7 linked regions of the Xenopus tropicalis genome follow. The protein of the gene in region 6 interacts with the protein of the main gene of each other region in a biochemical or structural test. Links are inferred from orthologs where the notes say so. Each region holds a gene or a part of one and is shown on either strand. Other genes may lie near its edges.

Region 1 (4,274 bases), on a different chromosome or scaffold from region 6:
TTCGTGATAACTCGCGCGTTTCGCTCAACAGCTGCGCCCGGAGCCGCCCTAGTGCTACTGGGAGTTGTAGTATACTAGAAGCTTACAGGCTGAATTTTCACTCAAGACCCCGCCTCTCACACTTTGGGAATTCTGGGCGCGATGATGTCACGATCAAGCCCCGCCCAGTAGAGGCAGCTATATAAAGGGTGGTTAGCGGCGGATTCGCTCTCTTCCTCACCGGGTCTGCGGCGAGTTTTAAGGTAAGTGGGTTGCGTTCAAGGGCCGGGTCGTGATTTTGAGATTTGCAGTGAAACCTGCAATTGGATGTGTGTGCTGTGTTCTGTTCCGTTGTTATTGTAGATAAATAGGTTTCCTCTGCCGTAGTTTATTTAACTTTTATGGAACCACGCGTGCATTTGTTACGGAGTTGCTTGGGGCCGTGGTCTCTTTCAGCTGTGTATTAGCGTATTTCTGGCAATTAGTGTTACCGTATTGTTACACTAGATATCTTGGCGGGAAGGGAACATGGGTGCTTAAAGTGGGCGCAAAATGAAGAACGGTGCCAAAGCAAGGCTTGCGGCCTAGTCCCAATCTGCGCTGCATCCTCTCCTATGTAAGCCATCCGCCTCCTCTCAATATATACTTGGCTTTAGGCGGATGTGGTTAATATTGCCGGTGCTGTATTATTCCAGACGGTAAATGCTTAAGGCTCGACAAGTGAACGTGGTTTGGGGAAGGAGCGAGAGAGCTGTGCGGATGGGTGGCGGCGCGCCTACATGGGATTCATTGTACGTAGTGCAGTTTAGACTGGTCAGGCGAACATAGTGTTTGTGGTGCCTGTAAGCGCTGAACTATAGCAGGACTGGGGCTATTGCCAGTGTCAGGGCCCGGCTGGCACAATGGCGCTAGTGCTGACGTGTATCACCCTCTCTCCCAGGCAGGCTCGGCGTGGCCGGTGTATCCGAGCCAGTGGGGGCGGCTTCACTCACTAAATGGCCGGCGTGCTACGGGTTACTGCTGGCCCTGCTTGAACGCGGGATAGCAGCTGCTTACTTATTGGGTTAAATGTTCTGTGTGGGCTCTGCTCTTTTCTATAGAAATGAAACGTATCTAAACCATTAGTCCTGTTTAGCGTTGCGTTCCCCCATCTGGTTGTTCCATAAAGATGGCGGCGGCTCTCAGCTGAAGGATTTTTTTTTCTCCACAAGATGGAGGCTGAGTCACAAGTGAGGAGACAAAAGAGCTGGGAGCGCTGCATGCAGGGCCTGACTCATACACCAGGGGGAGTACAGGCCTCGCTCTTGCCTTCTTCCTTTTATGTAATGAGGGATTTCAGGGTTTTTTTTCCAACTAGATATCTGTGCAAAGTTCTTGAATTGTGGGTGGGGCTGCTTGTGTCTCCAGCCCTTGGAACTGCTGAGTAATGCCTGCCATGGCTTGCTTTGATGTGACCTATATTTTTAGCTTTTTTTTTTTTTTTGATGTTTTTTAGTGTCCACCGCCAAACATCTAACAATCCACAATGGGAAAGGAAAAGACTCACATCAACATCGTCGTCATTGGACACGTAGATTCTGGAAAGTCCACAACAACTGGACATCTTATCTACAAATGTGGTGGTATCGACAAGAGAACCATCGAAAAGTTCGAGAAGGAAGCTGCTGAGGTAAATTTTGTTAACAATCGCACTTCTTGTGGTATTGCAGCAGTCTCACCCCCCCCCCCCCTTACTAAATATTTAGTCCTGCACATGTTTGTTTAGACAAGTCTTGCCTGTGCACTAATGTGTACTTGTATTTGGTTTGTATTAATAGCCACCTGCCTTGGGTGTTTGTGATAGTAGGGGGAGTATAAACATTGCAGTGTGTCAGGTCATTCTTGGCAGAAGCCTTGTAAGGGGTTTTTAATCATGTCATTGCTGAACTTTTCACCTAACAGATGGGCAAGGGCTCCTTCAAGTACGCCTGGGTCTTGGACAAACTGAAGGCCGAGCGTGAACGTGGTATCACCATTGACATCTCCCTGTGGAAATTTGAGACCAGCAAATATTATGTTACTATCATTGATGCTCCAGGACACAGAGACTTCATCAAGAACATGATCACTGGTACCTCTCAGGTAGGTTTTAAGTCCCAAGCAGCTTTGCTATTTATATCTAAAGTAGGTGAGGCAGGCTTGCTGTTAAGTGCACATGAGTAAAAATGTATGTTTTCTCTTGTAGGCTGACTGTGCTGTCCTGATTGTTGCTGCTGGTGTTGGTGAATTTGAAGCTGGTATCTCAAAGAACGGACAAACTCGTGAGCATGCCCTCCTTGCCTACACTCTGGGAGTAAAGCAACTGATCGTTGGTGTTAACAAAATGGATTCAACTGAACCCCCATACAGCCAGAAAAGATATGAGGAAATCGTTAAGGAAGTCAGCACATACATCAAGAAGATTGGTTACAACCCTGATACTGTTGCCTTTGTACCTATTTCTGGATGGAACGGTGACAACATGCTTGAGCCCAGCGCCAATGTAAGTACTGTGGCAGTTCACTTAAATGTCTACAGCCTGGCATACTCTCTGGTTAGTGTAACAGTATTTTGATGTATACAAATCTTGTTTTTTCTAGATGCCTTGGTTTAAGGGGTGGAAAATCTCACGTAAAGAGGGATCTGGCAGCGGAACTACCCTGCTGGAAGCTCTTGACTGCATTTTGCCACCAAGTCGCCCAACTGATAAGCCTCTGCGTCTGCCTCTGCAGGATGTCTACAAAATTGGCGGTAAGTAACACTTTTCCTATGTGTATGCTGGAATGTTGTTCGTGCTTTAGGTTTACTGGCCTACATGGTTTGTGGGGGAAACCAAGTTAAAAATCGTGCATCTGTTTAAAAAAACTTAGCAGCCTTTTTTTTTTTTTTTTTTTTTTGTACAGGTTAACTGCTTGTCTGAAATAATCCCTCCCCCCCCAACTGCAGTAACAAATTTGAAGTTCACCAGGCATGGATGTCCCTAGTTAACAGCTTTGATATATTACGTTACTGCTTTTTTAATGTCTAGTGAATAAAATATTGGCAGCAAAGAGCTCATAAATCTAATTTTAGCTTAGACACTCTAAACAAGTCTCCAGAAGGAAGACTAGTAATTGCCAACATGTACGTTTAGGCCTTGTTTTGGCAGTGCTGGGATTTAGTATGTTAAAGTATTCACACTAAAATGGCTGTTTCTTTCAGGTATTGGTACTGTACCAGTTGGTCGTGTGGAGACTGGTGTCCTTAAGCCAGGCATGGTGGTTACTTTTGCCCCTGTTAATGTAACAACTGAAGTTAAATCTGTTGAAATGCACCATGAAGCCCTTAGCGAGGCCATGCCCGGTGACAATGTTGGCTTTAACGTGAAAAACGTTTCTGTGAAGGACGTCCGTCGTGGCAACGTTGCTGGTGACAGCAAGAATGACCCACCAATGGAAGCTGGTACCTTTACAGCACAGGTATGCAAGATGGCTTATGGCTAAAGGAAGTGATATGGCTTTCCATAGCTGGCTATGGGGGCATTTAAATCGCTTTGCATAACTCTAAGATTGTTTTCTAAATGTCTGACTTAATAGGTTATCATCCTGAACCACCCAGGCCAGATTGGTGCTGGATATGCCCCTGTGTTGGATTGCCACACAGCTCACATTGCTTGCAAGTTTGCTGAGCTGAAGGAAAAGATTGATCGCCGTTCTGGTAAGAAACTGGAAGACAATCCCAAGTTCCTGAAGTCTGGTGATGCTGCCATTGTTGACATGATCCCAGGAAAGCCTATGTGCGTGGAGAGCTTCTCTGACTACCCCCCTCTTGGTAAGTCTTTTTCAAAATAACCTTTTTGCAGTCTTGTAAAATGCTACCCAGTAGGCCCTTAAGCTAATTATCCATTTATTTTTTTCAAGGTCGTTTTGCTGTCCGTGACATGAGGCAGACTGTTGCTGTAGGAGTCATCAAGGCGGTCGATAAGAAGGCTGCTGGAGCTGGCAAAGTCACAAAGTCTGCTCAGAAAGCACAGAAAGGCAAATGAATATTTCCAGCATCTCTCACCTCAGTCATAACCAGTGGTGGAGGATTGGTCTCAGAACTCTTTCTATCAATTGGCCATCAGAGTTTAATAGTCAAAGACTGGTTAATGATTACAATGCATCGCAAAAGCTTCAGAAGGAAAAAAATGCTCGTGGACACATTTGTTTGTGGCAGTTTTTAAGTTATTAGTGTTTTAAATCCAGTAATTTCTAAATGGAAGCAACTTGACCAAAATCTGTCACCAAATTGAGACC
Region 2 (3,985 bases), on a different chromosome or scaffold from region 6:
AATACAAGACCTATATTCGTTCTGGTGACAGTCACAATATATTGGCTGTGCCTTGATCTTGCAGATGGTGCAATTTTTTGATCTTGTGGATGGTAGTACTCACAGAGCCTCAGGGGATTTTACTTAACCCTGAGTCCATTTGAGCTTCAACACTGGCTGTTCTGGGGCAGTAGAGCTTTTGTTTTTTGGCCTACAAACAAGGCTGGAACACTTAGGGGCTAATTCATTAAACCATGATTTTTGGGTGGTTAAAATCATGATTGGAAAAAATTCGGAGTAACCACAAAAATTCTTTTCTCGTACGAAAATATCGTGGTTGCGTTCCGAATTTTCGGATCTGAACGTTCGTAAACAGTGTGAAAACCTTTCTGGCTTTCATAGTCTTCCATAGGACTCAATGGCACAGATCCAACCTGGCCAAAAGATAGTAAGATAGTTTACCAAATTGAATTCCGAAATGGTTGTAGTCTTTCCAACTTTTTGGTAGAAGTTAACGAAAACCATGAAAAAGTCATGGAATTTTAACAAAATTATTGTGGACATTGTGAAAAGTTCTACAAATTAGAAAGAATAAGATTTTTTCTCAAAAACAAAAAGATTGTGGTTTAATGAATGGGCCCTATAATTTTGCAAGTATTCTGGCCTTCGCAGCATGCATTCCTATATTTATATCTCCACCATTAATTACATTGGCATCAAGCATTATTTTTACAGGCCAGGGCAGTAAAATTTTGGGCTCAGGTGGCAGCCCTGGGGTAGGGAGTAAAGGTGGTAGAGAGTGATTGGAGGTGTAATGGGGCATGATAGTAAAAAATGTAAAACATAGAACTAATATGTCTGCGGTTTAATATATAAAAAAATTAATGACCCCATCCTTTCTGCATTTTCAGGGCCCCAGTAACTAAATGTCCTTTGGGTCTGTTGTCACTGACCAGAACTAGTATAGCTAATCCAACAAATTACAGTTATTTATATTTATTTTTCATATTTATTAGGTGTAGAGTTCATAATGGGGCACAAGCAAAGCTTATATAACGGAGACCATGGTGTTTCAGTGACAGGGACTGACTGCACAAGGAAAGATATGAGGGGGCGGGTCATAATTTTGGCGCCTTACATTCGTATAGTGACATCACCACTATAATATAAGCGGCGGAAGGCCGGCTGGCGGGCTCATTTTGGCGCCGGAGCTTCAGTTGGGAGGAGGTACCACAGAGGTACTAGGGAATTCAGCTACTGAGCTCCGCCATCTGCACCCCCGGCACACTTCTCTCTTTCCCCCAGCTCCGTACAGCCGTCACCATGTTTGAAGCTCGCTTGGTGCAGGGTTCCATCCTGAAGAAAGTGCTGGAGGCCCTGAAGGACCTGATCGATGAGGCGTGCTGGGACATCACATCGAGCGGCATCAGCTTGCAGAGCATGGACTCCTCGCACGTCTCGTTGGTGCAGCTCACTCTGCGATCGGACGGCTTTGACACCTACAGGTGCGATCGCAATCAATCCATCGGCGTCAAGATGAGCAGGTAAGGAAGCTATGTGGGCGCTTAGTAAGTGCGCAGCACTGCGGAGATCACTAGTTGAAGGGACGGGCTAGTGCGGCAGGCTTAATGCGTCCAGACTTTACTATTGGGTACACGTAGCGCGATACACGCTCTCATTTTATTGTATTTGGCGCAAATATGTATTCCATACATACATATTCCCCCCCCCCTCTGTCATGGACTTGGCCGATCTACTCCCCCCCCCCCCGCCTCTGTCATGGACTTGTCCGTTCAAGTCTCAGTGATTGCGCGCGCAACCTGGCTTCCCGCGTGACGTCACATACGCGCCAACTTCAACAAAGCCGCCGGCTTGGCGGGAAACCGGCTCATTGTGCCAAGCTTCAGCAGTGCGGCCACTCTAATCCAAATGCCACAGGATAGTTGGAAAATAAGAATTTTATCAATGAACCGAAATAAAATTATTTTCCTTAGTGTTGCCTCACTTTGTCTAACACTTCCCCTACACTTCACTGAGGCCCACAGCTGCTCAGTGTCTTTTCTTTAATGGGCCCTCATGGGTTCTATGTATATCTTTATAAAGCGCTACTTATGTACTCAGCGCTGTACAGTAAAATACATTAATACAAATGGGGTTAAGATAATAGATACATACAAAGTATAACAATAAATACAAGATACAGCTGCAATAAGTTAAGAGTCAAAGAGACAAGAGAATGGAGGTCCCTGCCCCATATAGCTTACAATCTATATAAAAAGGTAAAAGGAATACGCTGCTGTATGCATCTGGAGTGTTGGAAAGCTCCTTCAATGGGGATTTTTTTGTGCCGCCTTGCTTAGACAGGGCCCCTGGTTTACTCGGATTGTAAGCTCTACGGGGCAGGGACCTCCTTCCTATATATATATATATATATCTTGTCCTCCCTGTGTGTAAGCTGCGTACCCTTGTGGTGCTTTATAAATAAAGTTATACATACATACATTGGAGTAAAATGCCCAGGTTGCTTACCAAGATGTCTACCTTTGCCAGTCTCCTGTTTGGCATTATATATAACTATATATCTATCTTTACTTTTTTTCACAGTATGTCTAAGATCTTGAAGTGTGCTGCAAGTGAAGATATCATTACTCTGAGGGCAGAAGACAATGCTGATACAGTTACAATGGTGTTTGAGTCGCCAAGTGAGTATTTGCAACATTACACTTTGGTTTTCATACCCTTCATGCCAATAAGTAAATTCTTTATTATAGTAGCTTGGTGCTTATTTCATTGGCTTGGAAGGCAGGGCTAAAACAGTTATAGGTAATGGAACTTTTTAATGGATTTTTATAACTATAGTATCTTGATTAATTTGTGCTAAAATAGAAACAAGAAATGCTTGAATTACTGATTATACTGTACCAGCCTTCAAAGTTGTACAAAGCAGGTAGCCATCTTGGCTCTTTTTGTGGCCTTGTAAAATTTCCTTCTGACATCAAACCATGTTAAATTCTGATCCAGAAGGCACTGGTCACTACTGATAATAAATTAAATTAAATTAGGCTTATGTTTTAAATTAGTGTGCATATACTGTATATTTGTGCAGTTTAGAAGTGAAGTTTAGGGGTTGTTGTAAATCATTAAAAAAAAAAAAAAACTAGGTTTCTGTCATAGCTATTACAGGGCATTATTAAATTCTAATGCTAATTGCACTGGTTTTTAAGGTGCCAGTGATAAGAATCTGAAATACTATTCAGCCTTATCTTGTGACGTTTATATTCCATATATGTACAGTATATTGTCGGTCCCTAAGCACAGAGCATGGGCAGTGAATCAGCAGAAAAGATGTGGAAGCTATTTGAGGGCACATATCTTCCCTGCTAAAGGGCCGTGTTTGCCTTGGGCTGGTACAGAACCTCAAACAGTGAAGCATTTCTGCCCAACGTTTTTGTTCTGCTTAAGTTTAACTTAAATGTTTTTAATTTAGATCAAGAGAAAGTTTCTGACTATGAAATGAAGCTAATGGACCTTGATGTGGAGCAGCTGGGCATTCCTGTAAGTATATTTTTTTAATGTTTAAGTTGTTGCTGATTTTTGTCTGCTTACAAAACAGATTCGCTAGGATCACTGTTCAAAACGTAACTGGACACTTTTTGATTGTCTATTAGTTATTGCAAAATTTAAACCCAAAGCAGTGTACACTCAGTTTGTACACTTCAGTTGTTTTGGTTTTTATAGTTCCAGTCTTGGGGTTTCACAAAGTTCTAAGGGGGTAATATACATGCTGCTTGTAGAAACTCCCCTTCCTCTGTACCCATGGCAGTTATGTGACCTCTTATGCCAGTCTAAAGTAACCCTGTCTAATGCAGTTAATTTTGGATTGCACTCTGCTAAATTGTCTGGTTTCTCATGACAGGAACAAGAGTACAGCTGTGTAATAAAGATGCCATCTGGTGAATTTGCACGCATCTGCAGAGATCTAAGCCAGATTGGTGACGCAGTTGTT
Region 3 (3,500 bases), on a different chromosome or scaffold from region 6:
CAGCCTGAACACTGCATCTTAACTCAGATTACTGAATATACATTTCAGACTAGAGCTCAGTTTAACAATTACAGCATTCAATCAATTCATAAATTCTGCCTGTGTAAGGCTGCATTAGTGATGCAATTCATGCTGAAGGGTCTTTAGCATTTACCATAAACCATACAAATTCTTAAGCACCGAAAGCCTTAAAATTTACCTTCTGATTTTCTGTCCTAAAGCAATTCTTCACATAGTTTGCAAACTTTACTTCCACTTTAGGAAGAACAGTGCCCTGAGGAAACAAAAGTGAGAATGCACATTTTAACATCTTAAAATGTCTAAAATAGCCAGAACACTACTATTTCCTTTGCAGGTCTCTAACCCATTACCAGTTAGTAACCATTGACTTGATGTAGTGTTCTGAATTAATGTTAGGCATGTTTACACTGAACCGTTTAAGCTTTTTGGCCGATGTGAAAAAACAAAGTAAATTTCTTATCCTCAGGATAGCTTGATATTGGCTCAGATTAAAATTATATTCATACTTAGATTACCTTTTCTAATGAAGTTTGCATCTTTGCTTTTATTTCATCAAAAGACAAAGGCGTTTTTGGTGTCTTTGGTGTTTGAGGCTTTGTATCCTGCTTTCCTTTCTGCTCTGGAGTCTAAGGAGAAAAAAAAAAAAACTTTTAACAGAAAATCAGAATATTTACATTTAAAGGGGAACTCCACCCAATCTTCAAAACTTTAAGCAACTTTAAAAATCATGAAATGGCTGCATATTTAATTTTGTAATGTAATATGGTTTGGCACATTTACCAGAGTTTCAAAGGCCTTCCCCAAGCTCAATGTTTAGTTCTAGGGGCATTTCCTGGGGGGAACTTTTGAATACATATCTTAGGACAACTGCTTTAAAAATAAATAAAATAAAATTTGGCTGAACACGATATAGAACTCTGTACACTTGGCTGTTTATGTAGTGGGCACACAAGTTACCTGGGTACAAACAGGAAGACAGAAGGCCCTGGATCTAAAATCTGATATTGGAGGGGATCAGAGATGGTACAGGACAGACAACAGTAGATACTGCTGTTTCCTGGTGGGTTGCACACCAGGGGCCCTACCTCTGCTAGTTATCAAGTAGAAGCAGCTTCAACATTGCTTAAAGTGCATAATCAAGATCTGTGGGTACTTTTAAAATGACCTTGTGTAAGTAAAACTTAAACTTGTAACTTTGTTTCAACCCAAACCCTGATTGCAAGCTTCTCAGGGATTCCAGTCTAAATTAGATTTACCAGCTCCCCAGTTTAGGCACCCCCCACTTACTTTTGGAGTCTTTAGTGGTGTGGGTAATTCAGAAGCCTTCCCATTGTGATTTAACTTTTGAGCTGCCTTTGGTTTTGTAGGCAAGTCAGTCTATAAAGGAAATGCAAATTTAAAAATACCTAAGACACAAGAACTGGATACTTATTCATGCTGAAGCTGTCTGATACCTGTACAAAACCTGCCTTTTGCTCAAACTAAACAAATTAGATAAGTTTACAGAATCAATGACCCCACCCCACAAGAATCAAAACTAAAAAACAACAAACATGTTCTGACAAACTATTAGAAAACAGTGGAAACCATAACAAAATGTCTAGATGGTGAACTACCCATTTTACAGTTGTAAACTAGTCAGCACAACAAATATGAAATGGTTTGGGGGGGGGGGGGGGGAGAGTCACACAGAGGTACTACCCTGTGATTGGTGGATTTTTGCATGTCAGATGTCACAGCCGGTTGCAGTTAGTATATTTGTATGTAACTGCATTGTAACAGTTAACAAAAGTGAAAAAAAATACAAATGTCACCAAGTTACCTTTTTAACAGGTGTTTCATCCTCTTCATCCTCATCTTCGTCGTCCTCCTCCTCATCATCGTCATCATCATCATCATCCCTAAATAAAAAGGTAAAGCAGGTGAATTACTGTATGGTTATTATGGGTACACTTGACAAAATCTGGGAAGCCTTGCTGCAACAGGAGCTTGGTGCATGTCTGCCTTTCTCCCCCCAGGCTCACCCTCTCTCCTCTTCTATCTTACCTCTTGTTGTAATAAATGTTTATTTGAAAATCTTATAAGAACTTTAAATCTCATTTCATTATTCAGAGAATCGCTTACTTTATACCCCAGGTTGGTGCTCCTGTTAGGAGAAATCACCAGCCCAGAGTAGCTGCAAATGAGCAATCCTTTTCAATCTCTTGCCTGTCCTGGGGAATCCTGAGGCTGGCACATGTGCAGTAGAGTAAAAAAGCAGTTTTGTTATAAAGTTCGGCTTTTCACTTTACTGTGCAAGCGGCGTGAAGACAGAAGGTAAAGGATCATGGCTTTGCAGCTACCCCGGGTCGGTGCGGTTTTCTCCTAACAAGAGTACCAGCCCTGGGTTTCAGGTTAGCAATTACAATCACTGGGGTTTTTTGTTTTTTTTTAAAAAAACATTCAAACCTCTCAGTGGGGTGATTGTCACACAGAGCAATCTGTTTAGTTAGCTTTGGGGACATTGCTTTGCCAGGAGAGCTGTTCTGCAACAGCTAAAATATTACACAAACTAAGGGAAAGAACGATAGCAACCAACAGTGGAAAAGGACAGTGCCTGAAGAAGTGCAATTCCTCTCAAAGCATAAAGAAAAGCACACTATATACATACTCGTCTGAATCAGCCTCGTCCTCTTCCTCCAGACGTGTTTTTTTCTGCAAATACATACAAGAATTTAGACATCACAGACAACAAAAAAACCCACCACACAAGAAAAAACTGCACTCCTACTAAAATACATTTGATTAAACTTTATTAAGTTGAGTGGCTACTGCCTGACACTTTTCAGGAAAGACCCTTAAACCATAGGTCTATCCCATGATTATTTTTCCCGAAACACACCAGGCCGTTTGCTTCGCAGGAGCCACTCATGCTAACTTAAAGGAACAGTAACACCAAAATCTGACAGTGTATAAATGTAATTACAATATAATATACTGTTGCCCTGCATTGGTACAACTGGTGTGTTTGCCTTAGAAGGACAACTATAGTTTATATAAACAAAGCTGCTGTGTAGCTATGGGGGCAGCCATTCAAATGAGAAAAGGCACAGGTAAGTTAGCAGATAACAGATAAAACCCCATTATATTCTACAGAGCTTATCTGTTATCTGCTATGTAACCTGTGCCTTTTCTCCCTTTTTCCAGCTTTAATGGCTGCCCCCATGGCTACACAGCAGCTTAATTTATATAAACCTATAGTAGAGTCTCTGTAGCCAACACTAATTTTACCAGTGCAGGGCAACACCACATTATATTCTAATTACTTTAAAACACTTTCATTTTTAGTGTTACTGTTCCTTTAATAAAGGATCATTTTTTTTAGCAGAAGCAATGCGTTTTCTTCTTTTCTTAGTACAAGTTAGTCAGCATTTAAGCACTGCACTGAATTGGTCAGCTCCCATCTCCAGTTCCCCCCCCTCAAAGGCACTAAAAGAGGG
Region 4 (4,278 bases), on a different chromosome or scaffold from region 6:
CAACTCGAAGTATGAACCATTACATTACGAAGGCAAGATCTGCTTTACCTACCTACCTTCTCACTATCACGTACATAGGGCTTGGATAAATATTTACCAATGTTGTTAACATATGAAAAAAAAAACCTTGGTCGTTGAGCAAGTGTTTAATATTATATATAAGGCTTGCTGTCTGCTAGTAAAGTCTGTACAGTGAATCAAAGTCATACTAAAGCTAAAGCTCTCTGGTCTATGGGAGCATGGCTGTACAAGAATTAACCCTTATATTACGTCTAGCCTAGTATTAGGGCAAGTGTTCGGGTGTGGTGATGTATTATTTTCCATAGATGTGATGTGTCTATGATCATTTCGATGATCTCATGCTGGTGCCAAATCATTCAATAAGTATGACCGTGAAAGCTGTCTAAACTGTGCACTTGTGCTCCCGCCTGCAAGTTATGGCACTATTAGACGCACACAGAGTGTGGTAAGTACAAAAATATGATAGTCAAACACCTAACATTAACTAATTTATAATACCACATTATAGCAAAGTGCTTGATCGATAGTTCAGTGCTGGATTTGACCCCCAAAATGTTTGGAGCACACAGATCATTCTGTTTCTTCAAATTATAACAGACAGTGCTGGATATTTTACAATCATGGTGCCTTAGTCTAATATGCACAGTGCCAGTTTGTTGACCCAGAAATTATTAATTAAACCCCCAACACATCAAGCTTCAGTAACAGCAATATAAATCAAGGTATAATAAAAGAAAACAAATGATATCCATTCTTTTAGTAGTGGGGTTGGTTTGCCAGCCCACTAACATTCTGCTGCCCCAAATCAATTTTCAATAATCCAGACTTGCAGAAAGAAATTTATATTCATAGAAAATATTGGAGGGAAACTCATCCTTGCATCACTTTATCCTAGGAGGGCGGCCACTTGGCAGGCATTTTAACAGTAAACATTACACTTCATGCCAATGTTATCAAGAGGAAATAAAGATAGCAGAGAAAAGGTACCAGTCCTGTGTCTGTGGCAGGTGCCCATCAAGTATTCAAAAGTTGCAAAAACATCAAACTCCTCACTGCGAAGCATCCATGTTAAATTACAATGCATTTATATAGATTGTAAGCTCTACGGGGCAGGGACCTCCTTCATCTTGTGTTTCTGACTCTTACTGCAACTGTACCTTGTATTTATTTGTATTTATTGTTGTACTTTGTATTTATCCATTATCTTTAACCCCCTGTTTGTAATAATGTATTCTACTGTACAGCGCTGCGTATACAAGTAGCGCTTTATGAATAAAGATATACATACATACATACATACATACATTTGTGATTTGTAGGCTCTTTACAGGTGCTAATAGGGAATGGTGGGAGATGCTGAATGCCTGGTGTTATGGGTGAGCCAGTACAGCAGGGGTTAACCTGTAGAGCCCATAACACTGGGATAAGCCTTAGCACTTCCAAGGAAATTGACTGATTATAAATATGCAAGAAATAAGGACTAATAAAAAAAAGCAATTGCTGATGAGAATACATGGGGTTTTTCTGAAGTGTCCAACCTTTCACCCTTTTTCTCTATCTTTGAAGTAAAAACTTCCACAGATGCTGGGAGTTGTAGTTCTGAAACAGCTGATGGGCACAGGTTGGAATGGTAATAAAAATGTTGCAGAAAACAAGCCATAAAGATGTTTAGTTCAGAAATGTTGCAAATAATCATGGTATATAAATGCCTCTTAGTTGGGTGAAGCAGTGTGATCCCAATGAGTGACAAGCTGTAGGTTACACTAAAGCCTATGGAGCTGTTCAGCCCAAGTAGTGCATCAGCAGGAGGAAGCTATGTCTGGACTAGTTCCACAGAAAGGCTGAGCCCATAGATCTATGTGGCCAGACACACACATCATAGCCTTTGTGATCCTAAGGGTGAAGACACATGGCAATTCTCAGTATTGTCTATGGCAGGGGATTTTCTGGCGTTTAGTAGCTGTGATAAAGTAGCTGCTACTGGCAGCTCTGTGTGTCTTCACCCTAAAGATTATTTTCTCTAGATTAAAAACGCAGTTATTACAACCTCATCGCAACAAAACTGAAGCTGCATCAATCGTCCCCACTTTTATTTGCAGTGACTTAGTTGCTAGGGTCAAGGAGTTGTAGAGGACGCTTGTGAATAGACAGGTAGTCAATGACAACTAGTAACCCACACACACAGTAATAATGCCCCGAGCTAGCAGCTGTAAGAAATAGGATCAGTGAGGTTAGCGGGGGGTGACAGGTGCCGTAACATTGTCACAGTAACGTCCAAAACAAACACAGGTACAACATTGAGCTCCCCGCAAAGCCGGACCATCCTCCTACCTCCTAGAGCGGTCCAACAAGCCCAGTGGCAGGGCACAAAGCGTCCCAATTGCGCATCCCAGCTACAAATACAGGTGCATCCGCGCAAAGTTGCCCTGCCTGCCATAACTGCATCCTTGCACACAGGGACAGACAGACGGGGATCACTGGCGCTACAGAGGTACATGCATAACAACTGGGTAAAGGCTGCAGCAACAAATCAAACAGCTATACAGCTTGAAAGACTATTGATAACGTAAATTCTATATAAACCGCAACTGGACAAACCAACCAAGTGGTTATTACTTGTAGAAGTCCCGTAGCATTTTCCTACCTTTCATTTGTTTTCATATGTCTGGCAAACAGCAGCGCAATATCCACGGGGATGGCACAACAAACAACCCGAGCGAAAGTCCCGGCTACATTCAATTATTACTACGCTCACTCTGCTTCTTAAATCCTACATTACGTCAGGAGCTGGAGTTCCCGAGAGCGAGAGGGCGCGGCAACATACGAGGGTGGGGTTATGGCTTAATGGGCGGGGGCTCAAGGAACCCGCTTAGACATCAGCCACGCCCTGTCTGCTTCAATCTTCCGAATAGGGAATATGAGTGTGGCGTTGAACTGTGGGAGTTGTAGTTTCGGCCCCTTTCACAACGAATATTTACGGTGTACATATTGGGGTGACTGTAATTACTGCTATATGGTAGAACTGTAAAGTTAGAGACTCTGCCATCAATTTGGTTGGCTGACGCCCCCACTGCCCTGTTAAGGAGAGAGTGTTAGTTGCGCATAGCTTTGCTAGGTTGCTTTTGCCGAATTGGTTTGTATGGCTGAGAGCGGGTAGGACTCTTTGAGAGAGGCTTTGATCAAAACATTTTGCTGCTGAAATGTGACGATAAAGCCACACTAAAGGACTAGGAAATTAATATTCACTTGGGGTTGGGTGCCAATTTGTTAGGCCCACCCCACACACACAAGAGAATATAGCTGCTATGTTGACTTACTCATTTAGCTGTGGGTGTTCAGTATAACATTTGGGTGACTATTAGCATGGTTGGGCAACAAATTAGATACCCATAATGATATTTGGATAAAATGGGACAAAAAGGACAATGTTATACTTACAGACTGATTCGAAATATAAATGAAGAAGCGCCCTTATACAGTGTATACCATTCGCATATTTCTCTACATATCAAAATACCATCTATAGCAGGAGTAATTTTCAACTATCAGAACTATTGTTACTACCCAAATAACTTCATCCAAACTATATAACAGTGCTTATGATATTGCTACCTGTAATGTTCCTTTGTTGTTATCTCACTGCTGAAAAATTGCATAAAGAGAGATAAAAAAAAAGAATTTGGGTGACTGTTGCAGGTTCGGGTTTGGGTGCGCTTGAGTGAATTGGCACTTCAGTCAAAAATGACTTTTCTTGTCTTTTAAAGGGGTAATTTACCTTTCTATTAATTTTTTAGTTTGGTGTAGACCAGGGGTCATCAACCTTTTTGACCCTTGAGTAACATTTAAATATAAAAAAAGTTGGGGGGCAACACATGCATGAAAAATGTTCCTGGGAGTGACCAAAAAAGGCTTTTATTGTCTGTTTTGTAGCCCCTGTGTGGATTGACAGACTACAGGAGACTCTGTTTGGTAGTAACCATGGTCTTTATGCCTCCAAAACTTGCCTCCAAGTTAGAAATTCAAGAATTAAGACCTGCTTTGAGGCCGCTGGGAGCAACATAAAAGGGTGTGGTGAGCAACATGTTGCTCCCAAGCCACTTGTTGGGGATCACTGCTGTAGACACTGTAGGCCATTTGCAGTTGGTTTTATGTGATTCTTCAGTTATTTAGCTTTTTGTTCATCAGCTCTCTCAGGTTTGGAATTTCAGCAGTTATTTGGTTGCTAAGGGTTGTTTACCATAGCAACCAGACTGGGTT
Region 5 (4,070 bases), on a different chromosome or scaffold from region 6:
GCCCTATTGGGTTTATTTCATGGTTAAATGATTCCCTTTTCTCTGTAATAAGAAAACAGTACCTGTACTTGATCCCAACTAAGATATAATTACCCCTTATTGGGGGCAGAACAGCCCTATTGGGTTTATTTCATGGTTAAATGATTCCTTTTTCTCTGTAATAATAAAACAGTACCTGTACTTGATCCCAACTAAGATATAATTACCCCTTATTGGGGGCAGAACAGCCCTATTGGGTTTATTTAATGGTTAAATGATTCCCTTTTCTCTGTAATAATAAAACAGTACCTGTACTTGATCCCAACTAAGATATAATTACCCCTTATTGGGGGCAGAACATCCCTATTGGGTTTATTTCATGGTTAAATGATTCCCTTTTCTCTGTAATAATAATAAAACAGTATCTAGTATTGGGTTTATTTAATATTTAAATGATTTTTAGCAGATTTAAGTCATGGATAGGCCCTTATCCGGAAAACCTCAGGTCCCGAGCATTCTGGATAACAGGTCCCATACCCTAACTATGGTTAGCATTCAATTTGGGGGAACAGGGCAAGCTGCTATGGTGCATCAGGAGATTAGGAAGTAAAGGGCAACTGCTGTTCCTACACTTCCTGCTGTGTAAGCCCCCTAGCCCAGCGCCCTTCCTTTGGGCCTGAAGTGCCAGTACGCTTTCAAGCCAAGTACAGATACAAGGCAATGCAGAAAATGGAGAGTGGGGGGGACAGAAACCCATGAACTGTAGGAGCTTTACCCAGACAAGGCAAGGAATATACAAAAAACACACACCTACAATTAAAATAAATCATGGACTACATAGTTAGAGATCACGTCACAACCCCCGAATGTAAAAAATGAGCCAGCTGGGCACCCTGGTTGGCACCAAATATGCTCAGAATGCATGTTGTTCAGGCTGGACATAGATCCCTAATTATTTCTCACCAACATCATTGGCAAAATAAATTTAGATTCCATATGTCCCATGAAAAAAGCCCAGTGTGTATTTCGCCCTTTCAGGCTTCCTTGGCAGCACTTTGAGAAATGGGCAAGGAAAATGCCCATTTATATCCATTTTCTGTATATGACCCTGGGAGGTTCCCACACCTTTTGGGTTGACCCGGTATATAGCTTAGTACATATTGAGTGCATCAGGATATTGGGCGATTCTTCTCTTTATAGCTAGGCAATCTAGACAAAGAGGGTAATAAGGGGATGAACAGGGGCCTTTGTTGGATTGTACTAGTGCAGAGATAGAGAAACTAGAGCAGGGGGCTGCAGTTCTATAGCTGAGTAAGGGCACTGCAGGCCTCTGCTTTAGTACAAACTAATGTGGCTTTAGTTTCCCTTTAATGCCATTGATCTCCCTGACACTGAGTAAATCTGGTATAGACTGGCCATGTATATGCCAAATTCCCTACATAACTACAGAGCTGTGCCCCTTGCAGATTGTAAAGCACATCAATAGGCAAACTGGTTTGAGGACCCCCAGCCTCGCACATCAAGGCTTTAACTGTCCCTTTAACTGTCCGAACTGCAGAAGAATAATTAACAGAGTTCCCCCCCCCCCAAGGAGAAAAGTGCAGCACAACAATCATAACAGAATTCCCCTGTACTTACCCTCTCCGATCTTTTCTATTTTAGTGTACTCGTCCATGGCTGGTTCCTCAAGGCTGGATTCCTGCACAGAGGAGAAATAGAGATCACTCGTTTCAGGGATATCAGAAAAACAAACACATAACTAAAGCGCTGTCTGAGCCTATAGATATATATTTGTACTAGTAAAACAAACAGAAGCAGCCATTACAGTCCTAGTGATATACAAACTGTAGTTAAGCGGCGCCCCTCGGTGGCTGGGTTCTAATCAGAATAAGCAGCATTTCTGGTGCCCTACACATACGTGACAGCTGCCCCTGTGCTTTATACAGTATAATATACATCTGCTACTGTACAATAGCCCTTTAAGCTGCGGCAGCTGCCATACTGCTGTTCGGTGCATCATTCGAACGTTTCATCGTGACCAATCCCCGGCAGCCTTGCCTTACACTGCACCTCTGTTTGTTTCCAGTCTGGTCACTATTATGCCCTGTCCCCATCACATTACAATGGGACCCTGGCTTCCTACCCCCCTGCCGCCTTAGTAACCCAATATACATTATGGCACCAACCCCATAGTAACAGGCAGCAGAACAGCCCTATGCTGGGTGCCTAATATAAAGCTGTCAAACCTGCTGCTGAACTGCACCTCTATCCCCAGATATGATTAAGCAGTTGCAGTTAGAGTCTCATAATCCTGCTGTTGTTGAACTATAACTAGCAGCTCTGTAAGTCTATGGCTGGCAGTTGTGACTCCCCCAGCCCTTTTCTGCACCTTAACTAGTTACTAGCCAGCCCTACAGCAATAGCACTTAAGCTTAGGTGCCCAGATATGGACTACAAGTCCCAGCATCCCCCACAAACACAATCAATGCAGTCTGCAAGCTCAGCCGATGGAATTGAAATGTCTGGAGATTTAAAGGGCCTGAGGGGGCAGATCTAATGAGTGACAGCCCCTGCATGATTACACAGGGGGCAATTAAATGGCTGTAATCAGACAGGTGCGTCCATCTCCGACCCCTGAGTCCCTGTGTAGGGTGATACTCGGCACCCATAGCACGTACTCTGCAGCCAGGGCAAGCAAAATGCAGAAAAGTACCCCCTACAGCCCTTTCCCCCCTTACCTGCCCCAGCAGCTTACCCAGCAAACCCTCCGGCAGAACAAAGCCCCCCGTTTAACTCCCAGAGCCCAAGAGGCCTTTCCCCCTCGCCTACCTCAGCTTCCTTCTGCTAAAGCTGCAGCTTGCCTAACAGAGAGATTTCAAACCAACCGCGCAAAGCGCTGTCCAAGCCTAACCCAATCACTGCGGCCGTGGATATTCAAAGCGGCCAATAAGAATCAGGCAGCGGTGACGGCGCGAAGGAAGCTGGGAAGGGCGGGTAGCTAAAACAGCAGCGGGCGGGGACGTGATGTGGATAAAATCCTAGAGACCTGTTTGCGTGACTCGGCTAGGAACAGAAGTGGTCGGGCGGCTAGCTTTGTATACTGATTTAATCTAATATCCGGGAAGTGCAGTGTCTATAGCGGCACAGGGATTTCACTCAATAACAAATAAAGTAGTAAAACATAAGGTAAAAGGGGGTCCCTTAGGGTGGAGACACACAGAGCTACTAGTAGGAGCTACTTTGTCATGGGTACTATATACCAGAAAATACACTGCCATAGACAATACTGAGAATTGCCTCTGCTAAAACACACACACACATATATATATATATATATATATATATATAGAAATAATTATCAATAAATGATCTGCATTGTCTATTTTAGTAGCTGTGGCAAGTAGCTGCTACTAGTAGCTCTGTGTGTCTGACCTGAAACCTCAGTAAACTACAACTCCCAGCAACCCCCACAAAGCATTTGGCTATTAGAGGGCTTCAGCAAGAGCCGGAGGGCAGCAGAGTAGGCATATGTGTTACAAAATATAATTCCTGTGTGCCCACATGCACCCCCTTGGCCATTCTGATTAGTGATCAGGGTTCTCCCATGGGTTGGGAGAACATTGCTGGGTTGGGTGCAGGTCGTGGGCAGGGCGAGATGTGGGTGCAGGTCAACATTTTGCAGGTTAGGGCCAATTCACCCTATATGGGACAGTGCTAAAGATCTCCAGGGCTGTGGGATACAATAGCGTCACTGTACTCAAGAAATAGTAGCTAGGGTTTCCATCTGGCCATTCACTGGAGCACTGGTGGGCTCCAGTGAATATCACTTTATTAGCTGTAAAGAGGACCACAGGAATTCACACTAACAACAGCAGGGGCTGTTCCTGCTGAATTGTGCTTAGTACAGGGGAATCCCTATGCTGCCATAGTTTTATGGTATCTCTCTGTACAGGCTATGAGCAAACTTAGGGGGCTGTTCCTGCTGAATTGTGCTTAGTACAGGGGAATCCCTATGCTGCCATAGTTTTATGGTATCTCTCTGTACAGGCTATGAGCAAACTTAGGGGGCTGTTCCTGCTGAATTGTGCTTA
Region 6 (4,067 bases):
CCAGATTACAATTCCCTCTGAGCACCAATTGTTCCTTTGCTATAGTGATCAGGGGAAATGCAAGCACCGGGTTCTGCAATGTAGGTGTGGTAAAGGCATAATCTGCCAACAAAATGTGTAGGTGTATGGCAGCAGTTCTATAACTGTAAGGAACACAGGTGCAGCCTTTATAACTGCGGCTTTGGCATTTAAAACAACTTAGTCTTCAAAGTGCCACATTGATGTTGAAGATAAATGAGAATGTGGTTTTAGCCTTGGACATCCAACAGACATAGATCTGGTTTCATGTACTGTATATCTTAAATATAAAACAAAGTTGTGGCACGAGTTCAATGCCAAGGCAACTATACAAATTAAATGTAATGGAGAATGCTCAATAAAAGACTGTATTATGTCTGAGACTGTATAACAGTAAGGCATGGATTACTATGTGGACAGAACATTCCTGTGCTGCCGTTCTATATAAGAGCTGTCCCTGCCCATACAGAAAGTCTCCCCAGAGGCAACAGGAGCAATGCAACAACATCCTGTACACACTGCATTCACTGAGCTAGAAACTGGGACTGCTCCCGCTTGTACTTATGAGAAGTATGCAGAGAAGGAACATTCTGTGCATATAAGCTATGCCCTCATACTTTACGGGGAACAAATGGAAAGTAACCTATAATTATAAATGCATTTGGATATGGTGTTTACTTTTCTCCGTGCAGCAGTTCACCATAATAGGAGGAAGCATGACTATTTACCTGGGAATGTAATGACCAACATAGCACTATGGTATTACTAAACAATCAGTTATTCAGCATTCAAATAACAATAAGCAGGGTAAATTTAAAGGAGTGACAGTATCCCATTTACAAAGCCCCTCGTTATTGTCTTGGTATGCAAACAGCAGAACCCACCCAAGCCCCTCCTGGCAGACTCCACATGAGAGTGTTACCTACGTTGATTAGAATACAATGCAGATCAGCAGGTTCCCCAGGCTTGTCAGAGCCGCCCAGGATCTCAGCTAGCCGGCTCATGTTGCTCACTCTCAGGATGTTGATGTCATTCTCACAGCAAAATGCCTGGATCAGGGTGAAGTGGATCTGTAAAGCGATATCCTGATCGTAGGTATCGTCAGTAGCCAACAAACAGAGCACAACGTTGTCTGGGTCCCTGAGAAAACAAGAGGTGCAGAGAAAACATTTAAAGTCAGCCTCTTTTCAAACCCAGCGCAATATTGATTAGTAAACGCCATTAATGTATGTATATAAATCTGCGTTTCCAAACGCTAAGCTAAATGGAATTAATGGGGGCAATTCACCTTTGATCTAACTTTTTTTTTTGTCAGAGCATGCCTTATTCTTGCCAACTTTTCAAATACTCCTCATTTTTTACAATTAATTTCCCTTCCTACTCTTCTAGCTTGCAATTTAAAATGCTATCTTGTAATTGGGGGACACTGATCCCAGCAGCCAAAATCACTATTGCTCTGTAAACCTACAATGTTATTGTTGCTTTTATTACCTTTGTATTCCATTCATGCCTTCTCCTATTCATATTTCAGTCTCTCATTCAAACCACTGCCTGGTTGTCAAGGTAAATTGGACCCTAGCAACCAGAAAGCTGAGCAAACAGCTAAATACTTCAAAAACCACAAACAATAACAGATAAAGAGCCAATGCAAATAGTCTCAGAATATATTACTAAAACTTAATCTAAAAGGTAAACGCAGCCTTGATTTTTTTATTTTTAAGTTTGATTTGTGCACTGTGACAACCATAATGTTAAAGTTGACTTTAAGGGGAAGTAACAAAAAAAGCCTACATACACATTGAGAAGTTTTGCAGCTTCGTACACCCCAATAGTGATGGTCCTCTGCAGTTTGGCCTTGCAGAGCACTTCCTCCAGTGCGTTTCCCACTGACTCCATCCTGCAGAATAACACAAGAAACACTCATGAGCATCTGAGCAAAGCATGCAAATGTGACTCCTGAGCTATTCCCAACAGCATCCTAACCATGCATGAGTCAGGCACTATGTCTGAGTAAGTTCTGCAGCAACAGGCACTTAGAATACCTCTCAGGCACAGACATGTGCACACACACACACATTACATATAGCTACTTACAGAGAGTACATTTATCACAGATTTACACTTTTGAACAAAAACTCAGTCCCAAAGTGAGCCATTTGAAAGGCCATTGCAGAAGCCACTAAGGAGCACTGGGCTGTGCTGGATGCTGGGAGCTGAAGTCCTATACAAGCAGGAAGGCCACAGTTTAAAAGGAACAGAAGCCCAGGGGCAAGGGGCCATAGGGCGAATGCACCTCATGACAAAATGATCCCTGCTGCAGTAAGGGGCAACCGGGGCGGCTATGCTATTGGTCGTTGTAACAAAATGATTACATGGGCCGTTGTGATGTAGCACCCACCGACCCCAAGAGGAGGTGCAAGTGCCCACAGCGCAGATGGGTGCATGGAAGGCATCTGTTCACACCAAACTACCATTTTGCGCAATGCTTTTGGCTGACCCCACAAACCCCTTTCTGACCCAGGCAAGTCCTCGCAACAGCAGCAACACACGAACACAGACTGCCCCATCCGCACGAACACAGACTGCCCCATCCGCACTATAACCCGCTCTGTGGCGCAAGAGATCTTACTTTCCAATGCTCTGATCCCCAGACAGCTGCTCCTCCAGAGTCATATTATATTGCTGTACGGGTTGCACTGCTCCGTAGCGCTGCAGATTTGTAGTGGATTTTGCGGCCAGCAAGGCTCTTCCTGGGAACTAGAAAGTTTCACCTCAGTTCTCGGAACTGCTGCCTGATACAGTAGCGCGCCGCTGCCCCGTGTTCTCCAATTGCTGACTCTACACACTCTGCTCTCACGCCTTCTCTACCCGGCTTCATACGCATACACCCAACCAACCACAGCTCCCCTCATTTGCCTATCGCGATGCTGATTGGCTCATGTAAATCAGGCTGCCGGCCACAGACTTGACCTCTTCTGCTACTCTGGGAACCGAGAGTACAGCGAGTGCGGGGCGGGGCTTACTTAGCGGCCTGCCCTGTGATTGGCTCCATACAGTTACCAGGTGCTGAACATTGTGTAAATAACCCTTTCACTGCTGACAATATTGGAACCTTACCGACTGTTACAGAAAACTTTAACAATTGCATGTCTTTGTTTTAAAATAAAGGTATCATTTCAAACACATTACATTACAGAAGAAAATAAGCCTTGTTTGCCACAGTGAATGTAAGCGCTAGCTAGCCCTGTCCGGCCATTGCATTTGTAGTAGTGTTTAGCTGTAATAACGTGTACAATTATCTTTATAGATGCATTCAGCTGTCAAAGGGAAAACTTGCAAGGGACTATCTTTTCAGTCTTACATTTGTCTCATTAATGGTACAAAGCTTTCTTCACGTTATTTGTTCTTTTTCACTTTAAATGGTAAATTACGAATGATAACGTTTTATTGCTAGCATATTAGATATCACCTTACATGATAACTATCCCAATGGAGACTCACCCCACTGGGGGTCCTTATATAAGCATCTTTATATGACATCAATCTACCCCTACTGTTCAGGTATAACATTATAATGTCACAGCAAAGACCTGGAAAGCACTGGTCTGAGGCATCATTAAAAGAATACAGTGAAACCTCAATTTTACATACCCTTATTTCAAGGATTTTCCTGCATTTTACCTTTTTTTTGCATTTCAATGGGTGTTTTTTCCCTTTTTTAAATTGATTCCACAGATTTTGCTCCTGATGTTCCCATAAATGTCTTTGTCCTCTGTAATATTATTATTAGTAAAATTAAGAGGTTTATATAACTATAGAGATGCATACTTTGCTATGGTTCTGTCTGTAAACAGTAAATGCTAGTATAGCTGCAGCTCATACAGTCATGCACAAATCATTTATTGCTTTAGGTTGTGCATGTGACTGGCAGGGAGGTCTTGCAAATGCTGTCCCATAGTGTAACAGTAATGCTGCACTGCTTAACCCTTGTCATTAACACACTAAATGTTGTATTTCAAAGTAAAACTGCCCCCTGTGCTTATGTCCTT
Region 7 (3,970 bases), on a different chromosome or scaffold from region 6:
AAACCCAGTGAGAATGAGGAATGAATGGATATTGGGGAGTTGTATCAGGAGTCAGAACCAGCAGTGCAGGGAAGGGAAAGGGACAGACACAGTGACAGTTACACATAACTATAAACCCAGTGAGAATGAGGGATGAATGGATATTGGGGAGTTGTATCAGGAGTCAGAACCAGCAGTGCAGGGAAGGGAAAGGGACAGACACAGTGACAGTTACACATAACTATAAACCCAGTGAGAATGAGGAATGAATGGATATTGGGGAGTTGTATCAGGAGTCAGAACCAGCAGTGCAGGGAAGGGAAAGGGACAGACACAGTGACAGTTACACATAACTATAAACCCAGTGAGAATGAGGGATGAATGGGTATTGGGGAGTTGTATCAGGAGTCAGAACCAGCAGTGCAGGGAAGGGAAAGGGACAGACACAGTGACAGTTACACATAACTATAAACCCAGTGAGAATGAGGAATGAATGGGTATTGGGGAGTTGTATCAGGAGTCAGAACCAGCAGTGCAGGGAAGGGAAAGGGACAGACACAGTGACAGTTACACATAACTATAAACCCAGTGAGAATGAGGAATGAATGGGTATTGGGGAGTTGTATCAGGAGTCAGAACCAGCAGTGCAGGGAAGGGACCGATGCACCGGAGCCATTGGGCAGCCATATTGCTGTGTGTATGGGATATAATAGCGGGCAGCACATAGTGACTGGCAGAGAGGGAGCGGGCAGGATACTCACCGAGCAGAAAGGCTTCCGGTTCCTGGGCGGGGCGGGGCTATGCCGGTAAGTGCGCACAGATACTCAGTAAAGGCCCAGATAAAACTCTTTCAAACCAGAAAGCGCTCCCAGACCCGACTATACGTCATACAGGCGCGACAGGCCAGCGTCTAACACGTCACACACCAACGCGCAGGCGCCTTGCGCGTCAAGCTCTTGTCACTCGGATACCTAACGGATCTCCGCTCTCCACCAATCAAAGCGAGGCAGCTGACCGCCTGCAGCCAATCAGCGCTCGGAGCGGGTTAAAGGGATTTAAAAGCGGGCGATTTGAATCGGAGTGGGCTGTGACGGTTGGAGGAAGTGAGGCGAGTGTTCTGCCTGACGGGAAGCGGAGCTGTCGGTTTTGCGTCTGCCGCTAACCAGTGTCTGTCCGTGGCTTCAGCTGCTGCAATCCGGTCTGTGTGAGAGCTGCTAGAGTCCCGGCCCGCACATTCGGCTGCCAGGTGTGTGTGTGTGACTGGGCCAATGGGGAGCTTTGTTTCATATGGTTCGGGAGTGTTGTGTGAACTGAGTTATATATTCTGGGCTGTAACAGCTGCACCCTCTGTGCTTCAGCCATTGGTTATCTTTATGGGCCAATGAAACTGCATCTCCCAGTGGCACTGGCTCATGTGGGGCCCATACAGGCCTTAGTACTGCCCCCCCCCATATGTGTTTGTGTGGGGCCCATACAGGCCTTAGTATTGCCCCCCCCCCCCCCCCCATGTGTTTGTGTGGGGCCCATACAGGCCTTAGTATTTAGTGTTAATCCATGACTGAGTTTTGGGAGTTGGTAATGTGTGGGATTTTGGATTTGGGCTCCCAGTCTGGAGATGATTGCCCCCCCCCCCCCCAGCAGGAAAAAGGGTGATCCTTATCGTTCCAGGGGTACCCAGGGCACAAATAAGCACTCACCCCAAATCCCCCCCTAACTGGCCTTCAGGCTGGGCCCCCTTAGCCCATAACAAGGTTACAGATATATAGAAACATTGGGGTAACAGTCACCCTGCTATAGTTCCAGGGGTACCCAGGGCACAAATAAGCACTCACCCCAAATCCCCCCCCTAACTGGCCTTCAGGCTGGGCCCCCTTAGCCCATAACAAGGTTACAGATATATAGAAACATTGGGGTAACAGTCACCCTGCTATAGTTCCAGGGGTACCCAGGGCACAAATAAGCACTCACCCCAAATCCCCCCCTAACTGGCCTTCAGGCTGGGCCCCCTTAGCCCATAACAAGGTTACAGATATATAGAAACATTGGGGTAACAGTCACCCTGCTATAGTTCCAGGGGTACCCAGGGCACAAATAAGCACTCACCCCAAATCCCCCCCCCTAACTGGCCTTCAGGCTGGGCCCCCTTAGCCCATAACAAGGTTACAGATATATAGAAACATTGGGGTAACAGTCACCCCGCTATAGTTCCAGGGGTACCCAGGGCACAAATAAGCACTCACCCCAAATCCCCCCTAACTGGCCTTCAGGCTGGGCCCCCTTAGCCCATAACAAGGTTACAGATATATAGAAACATTGGGGTAACAGTCACCCCGCTATAGTTCCAGGGTACCCAGGGCACAAATAAGCACTCACCCCAAATCCCCCCTAACTGGCCTTCAGGCTGGGCCCCCTTAGCCCATAACAAGGTTACAGATATATAGAAACATTGGGGTAACAGTCACCCTGCTATAGTTCCAGGGGTACCCAGGGCACAAATAAGCACTCACCCCAAATCCCCCCCCTAACTGGCCTTCAGGCTGGGCCCCCTTAGCCCATAACAAGGTTACAGATATATAGAAACATTGGGGTAACAGTCACCCCGCTATAGTTCCAGGGGTACCCAGGGCACAAATAAGCACTCACCCCAAATCCCCCCCTAACTGGCCTTCAGGCTGGGCCCCCTTAGCCCATAACAAGGTTACAGATATATAGAAACATTGGGGTAACAGTCACCCCGCTATAGTTCCAGGGGTACCATGGGCCTAATAAGATTACTCACTCACCCCAAATCTCTCTAAGCATAAGAACTTGCAATGTTTGCTCGGTTTCTATTGACGGTTTATATAACTGAATATGTTGGTGACAGGCACATATAATGGAACGGGCTGTTAAAGAGAATCTTCCTTCTAATGTCAAGGTAAGTCTTTATCTGCCCAAGTTACTAAGCACTTGGGGAGCCACTATTTCTTTTTGTATTTAAGTTCCCCTGCGCCTCAGTAGGTGATTATCTTTATCGCTGTGAGATGTAAACTGTTGAGATGTGTAGTTCAGTAACTCGATCACACTGGAAGGCAGAAGGAGGGAATACTTGCCCTTGCGCCGGTAACACGACGTTCCTCTGCCTGCGCCACAAAATGCTCAGTTTAATGTCTGTAAAAGTCTTTTGGGTTTCTCTCTTTAATGTTATGCATTCTCCCTGGTAATAAAGAACTGTCAGACTACTGACCATAGTCTGTGCTAAGAAATTCCCAGCATCCTTAGCTGCCCAGGGAAGTTGTTTCCCAGAGATCTTTACATCCATGGTTTGGCATTTGATTATTCTTACTAAGGTTTCTCTTTTTCTTTACTGTAGGTTTTCCACCCCACAATGGAGGGTCCCAAACGTATCCCAGTTACCCAGCCTCCGAGCACCCAGGTTAGACCTCCTGGGACTGCCGTCTCTGCCCAGAGGATATTGGGTCCCTCCAATGTGCCACAGCGAGTCGTGTCTCAGGCTCAGAAACCTGTTATGTCCGCTCAGAAACCTGTTATGTCCACTCAGAAGCCAATGACTCAGGGGCCACTGAGGCCAGTAACTCATGGGCATCAGGCTGGCAAACCACAGGGACCAAATGAGAATCGTACTCCACAGCAGACCAGCCATTCCTCCAGTAAGTGCCCTGGGACTTGAGAGCTTACTGCAATAGCCTCTGGCCGGTGGCTGTGTTCTTCGGGCCGCGTTGCCTCTGGCCGGTGGCTGTGTGCTTCGGGCCGCGTTGCCTCTGGCCGGTGGCTGTGTGCTTTGGGCCGCGTTGCCTCTGGCCGGTGGCTGTGTGCTTTGGGCCGCGTTGCCTCTGGCCGGTGGCTGTGTGCTTTGGGCCGCGTTGCCTCTGGCCGGTGGCTGTGTGCTTTGGGCCGCGTTGCCTCTGGCCGGTGGCTGTGTGCTTTGGGCCGCGTTGCCTCTGGCCGGTGGCTGTGTGCTTTGGGCCGCGTTGCCTCTGGCCGGTGGCTG

The links.
Region 1: the proteins of gadd45a (region 6) and eef1a1 form a complex in vitro, tested with the Homo sapiens proteins (2 studies listed by BioGRID). The link is inferred for Xenopus tropicalis from reciprocal best matches to the Homo sapiens genes GADD45A and EEF1A1.
Region 2: the proteins of gadd45a (region 6) and pcna form a complex in vitro, tested with the Homo sapiens proteins (4 studies listed by BioGRID, with this or other methods). The link is inferred for Xenopus tropicalis from reciprocal best matches to the Homo sapiens genes GADD45A and PCNA.
Region 3: the proteins of gadd45a (region 6) and npm1 form a complex in vitro, tested with the Homo sapiens proteins (2 studies listed by BioGRID). The link is inferred for Xenopus tropicalis from reciprocal best matches to the Homo sapiens genes GADD45A and NPM1.
Region 4: the proteins of gadd45a (region 6) and cdkn1a form a complex in vitro, tested with the Homo sapiens proteins (3 studies listed by BioGRID). The link is inferred for Xenopus tropicalis from reciprocal best matches to the Homo sapiens genes GADD45A and CDKN1A.
Region 5: the proteins of gadd45a (region 6) and cdk1 form a complex in vitro, tested with the Homo sapiens proteins (5 studies listed by BioGRID). The link is inferred for Xenopus tropicalis from reciprocal best matches to the Homo sapiens genes GADD45A and CDK1.
Region 7: the proteins of gadd45a (region 6) and aurka form a complex in vitro, tested with the Homo sapiens proteins (2 studies listed by BioGRID). The link is inferred for Xenopus tropicalis from reciprocal best matches to the Homo sapiens genes GADD45A and AURKA.

The regions. Positions count from the first base shown.
Region 1 is NC_030681.2:91,801,105-91,805,378, forward strand, and holds the start of eef1a1 (elongation factor 1-alpha 1), read left to right. Parts: upstream 1-1,474; 5' UTR 1,475-1,504; coding exon 1,505-1,648; intron 1,649-1,920; coding exon 1,921-2,100; intron 2,101-2,203; coding exon 2,204-2,500; intron 2,501-2,597; coding exon 2,598-2,748; intron 2,749-3,198; coding exon 3,199-3,455; intron 3,456-3,572; coding exon 3,573-3,807; intron 3,808-3,896; coding exon 3,897-4,021; 3' UTR 4,022-4,274. UniProt on the Homo sapiens protein: Translation elongation factor that catalyzes the GTP-dependent binding of aminoacyl-tRNA (aa-tRNA) to the A-site of ribosomes during the elongation phase of protein synthesis.
Region 2 is NC_030679.2:123,022,222-123,026,206, forward strand, and holds the start of pcna (proliferating cell nuclear antigen), read left to right. Parts: upstream 1-1,185; 5' UTR 1,186-1,302; coding exon 1,303-1,523; intron 1,524-2,583; coding exon 2,584-2,681; intron 2,682-3,466; coding exon 3,467-3,534; intron 3,535-3,895; coding exon 3,896-3,985. UniProt on the Homo sapiens protein: Auxiliary protein of DNA polymerase delta and epsilon, is involved in the control of eukaryotic DNA replication by increasing the polymerase's processibility during elongation of the leading strand.
Region 3 is NC_030679.2:20,070,074-20,073,573, reverse strand, and holds part of npm1 (nucleophosmin), read right to left. Parts: intron 2,716-3,500; coding exon 2,672-2,715; intron 1,923-2,671; coding exon 1,844-1,922; intron 1,399-1,843; coding exon 1,309-1,398; intron 648-1,308; coding exon 537-647; intron 275-536; coding exon 200-274; intron 1-199. UniProt on the Homo sapiens protein: Involved in diverse cellular processes such as ribosome biogenesis, centrosome duplication, protein chaperoning, histone assembly, cell proliferation, and regulation of tumor suppressors p53/TP53 and ARF.
Region 4 is NC_030678.2:54,674,804-54,679,081, forward strand, and holds the start of cdkn1a (cyclin-dependent kinase inhibitor 1), read right to left. Parts: upstream 2,801-4,278; 5' UTR 2,673-2,800; coding exon of another isoform or gene 2,666-2,672; intron 1-2,665. UniProt on the Homo sapiens protein: Plays an important role in controlling cell cycle progression and DNA damage-induced G2 arrest. Involved in p53/TP53 mediated inhibition of cellular proliferation in response to DNA damage.
Region 5 is NC_030683.2:16,801,326-16,805,395, reverse strand, and holds the start of cdk1 (cyclin-dependent kinase 1), read right to left. Parts: upstream 2,801-4,070; 5' UTR 2,735-2,800; exon of another isoform or gene 2,718-2,734; intron 1,679-2,717; 5' UTR 1,655-1,678; coding exon 1,618-1,654; intron 1-1,617. UniProt on the Homo sapiens protein: Plays a key role in the control of the eukaryotic cell cycle by modulating the centrosome cycle as well as mitotic onset; promotes G2-M transition via association with multiple interphase cyclins.
Region 6 is NC_030680.2:83,503,629-83,507,695, forward strand, and holds the start of gadd45a (growth arrest and DNA damage-inducible protein GADD45 alpha), read right to left. Parts: upstream 2,801-4,067; 5' UTR 2,692-2,800; coding exon 2,648-2,691; intron 1,916-2,647; coding exon 1,814-1,915; intron 1,159-1,813; coding exon 945-1,158; intron 1-944. UniProt on the Homo sapiens protein: In T-cells, functions as a regulator of p38 MAPKs by inhibiting p88 phosphorylation and activity.
Region 7 is NC_030686.2:6,088,120-6,092,089, forward strand, and holds the start of aurka (aurora kinase A), read left to right. Parts: upstream 1-1,170; 5' UTR 1,171-1,225; intron 1,226-2,845; 5' UTR 2,846-2,854; coding exon 2,855-2,896; intron 2,897-3,331; coding exon 3,332-3,629; intron 3,630-3,970. UniProt on the Homo sapiens protein: Mitotic serine/threonine kinase that contributes to the regulation of cell cycle progression.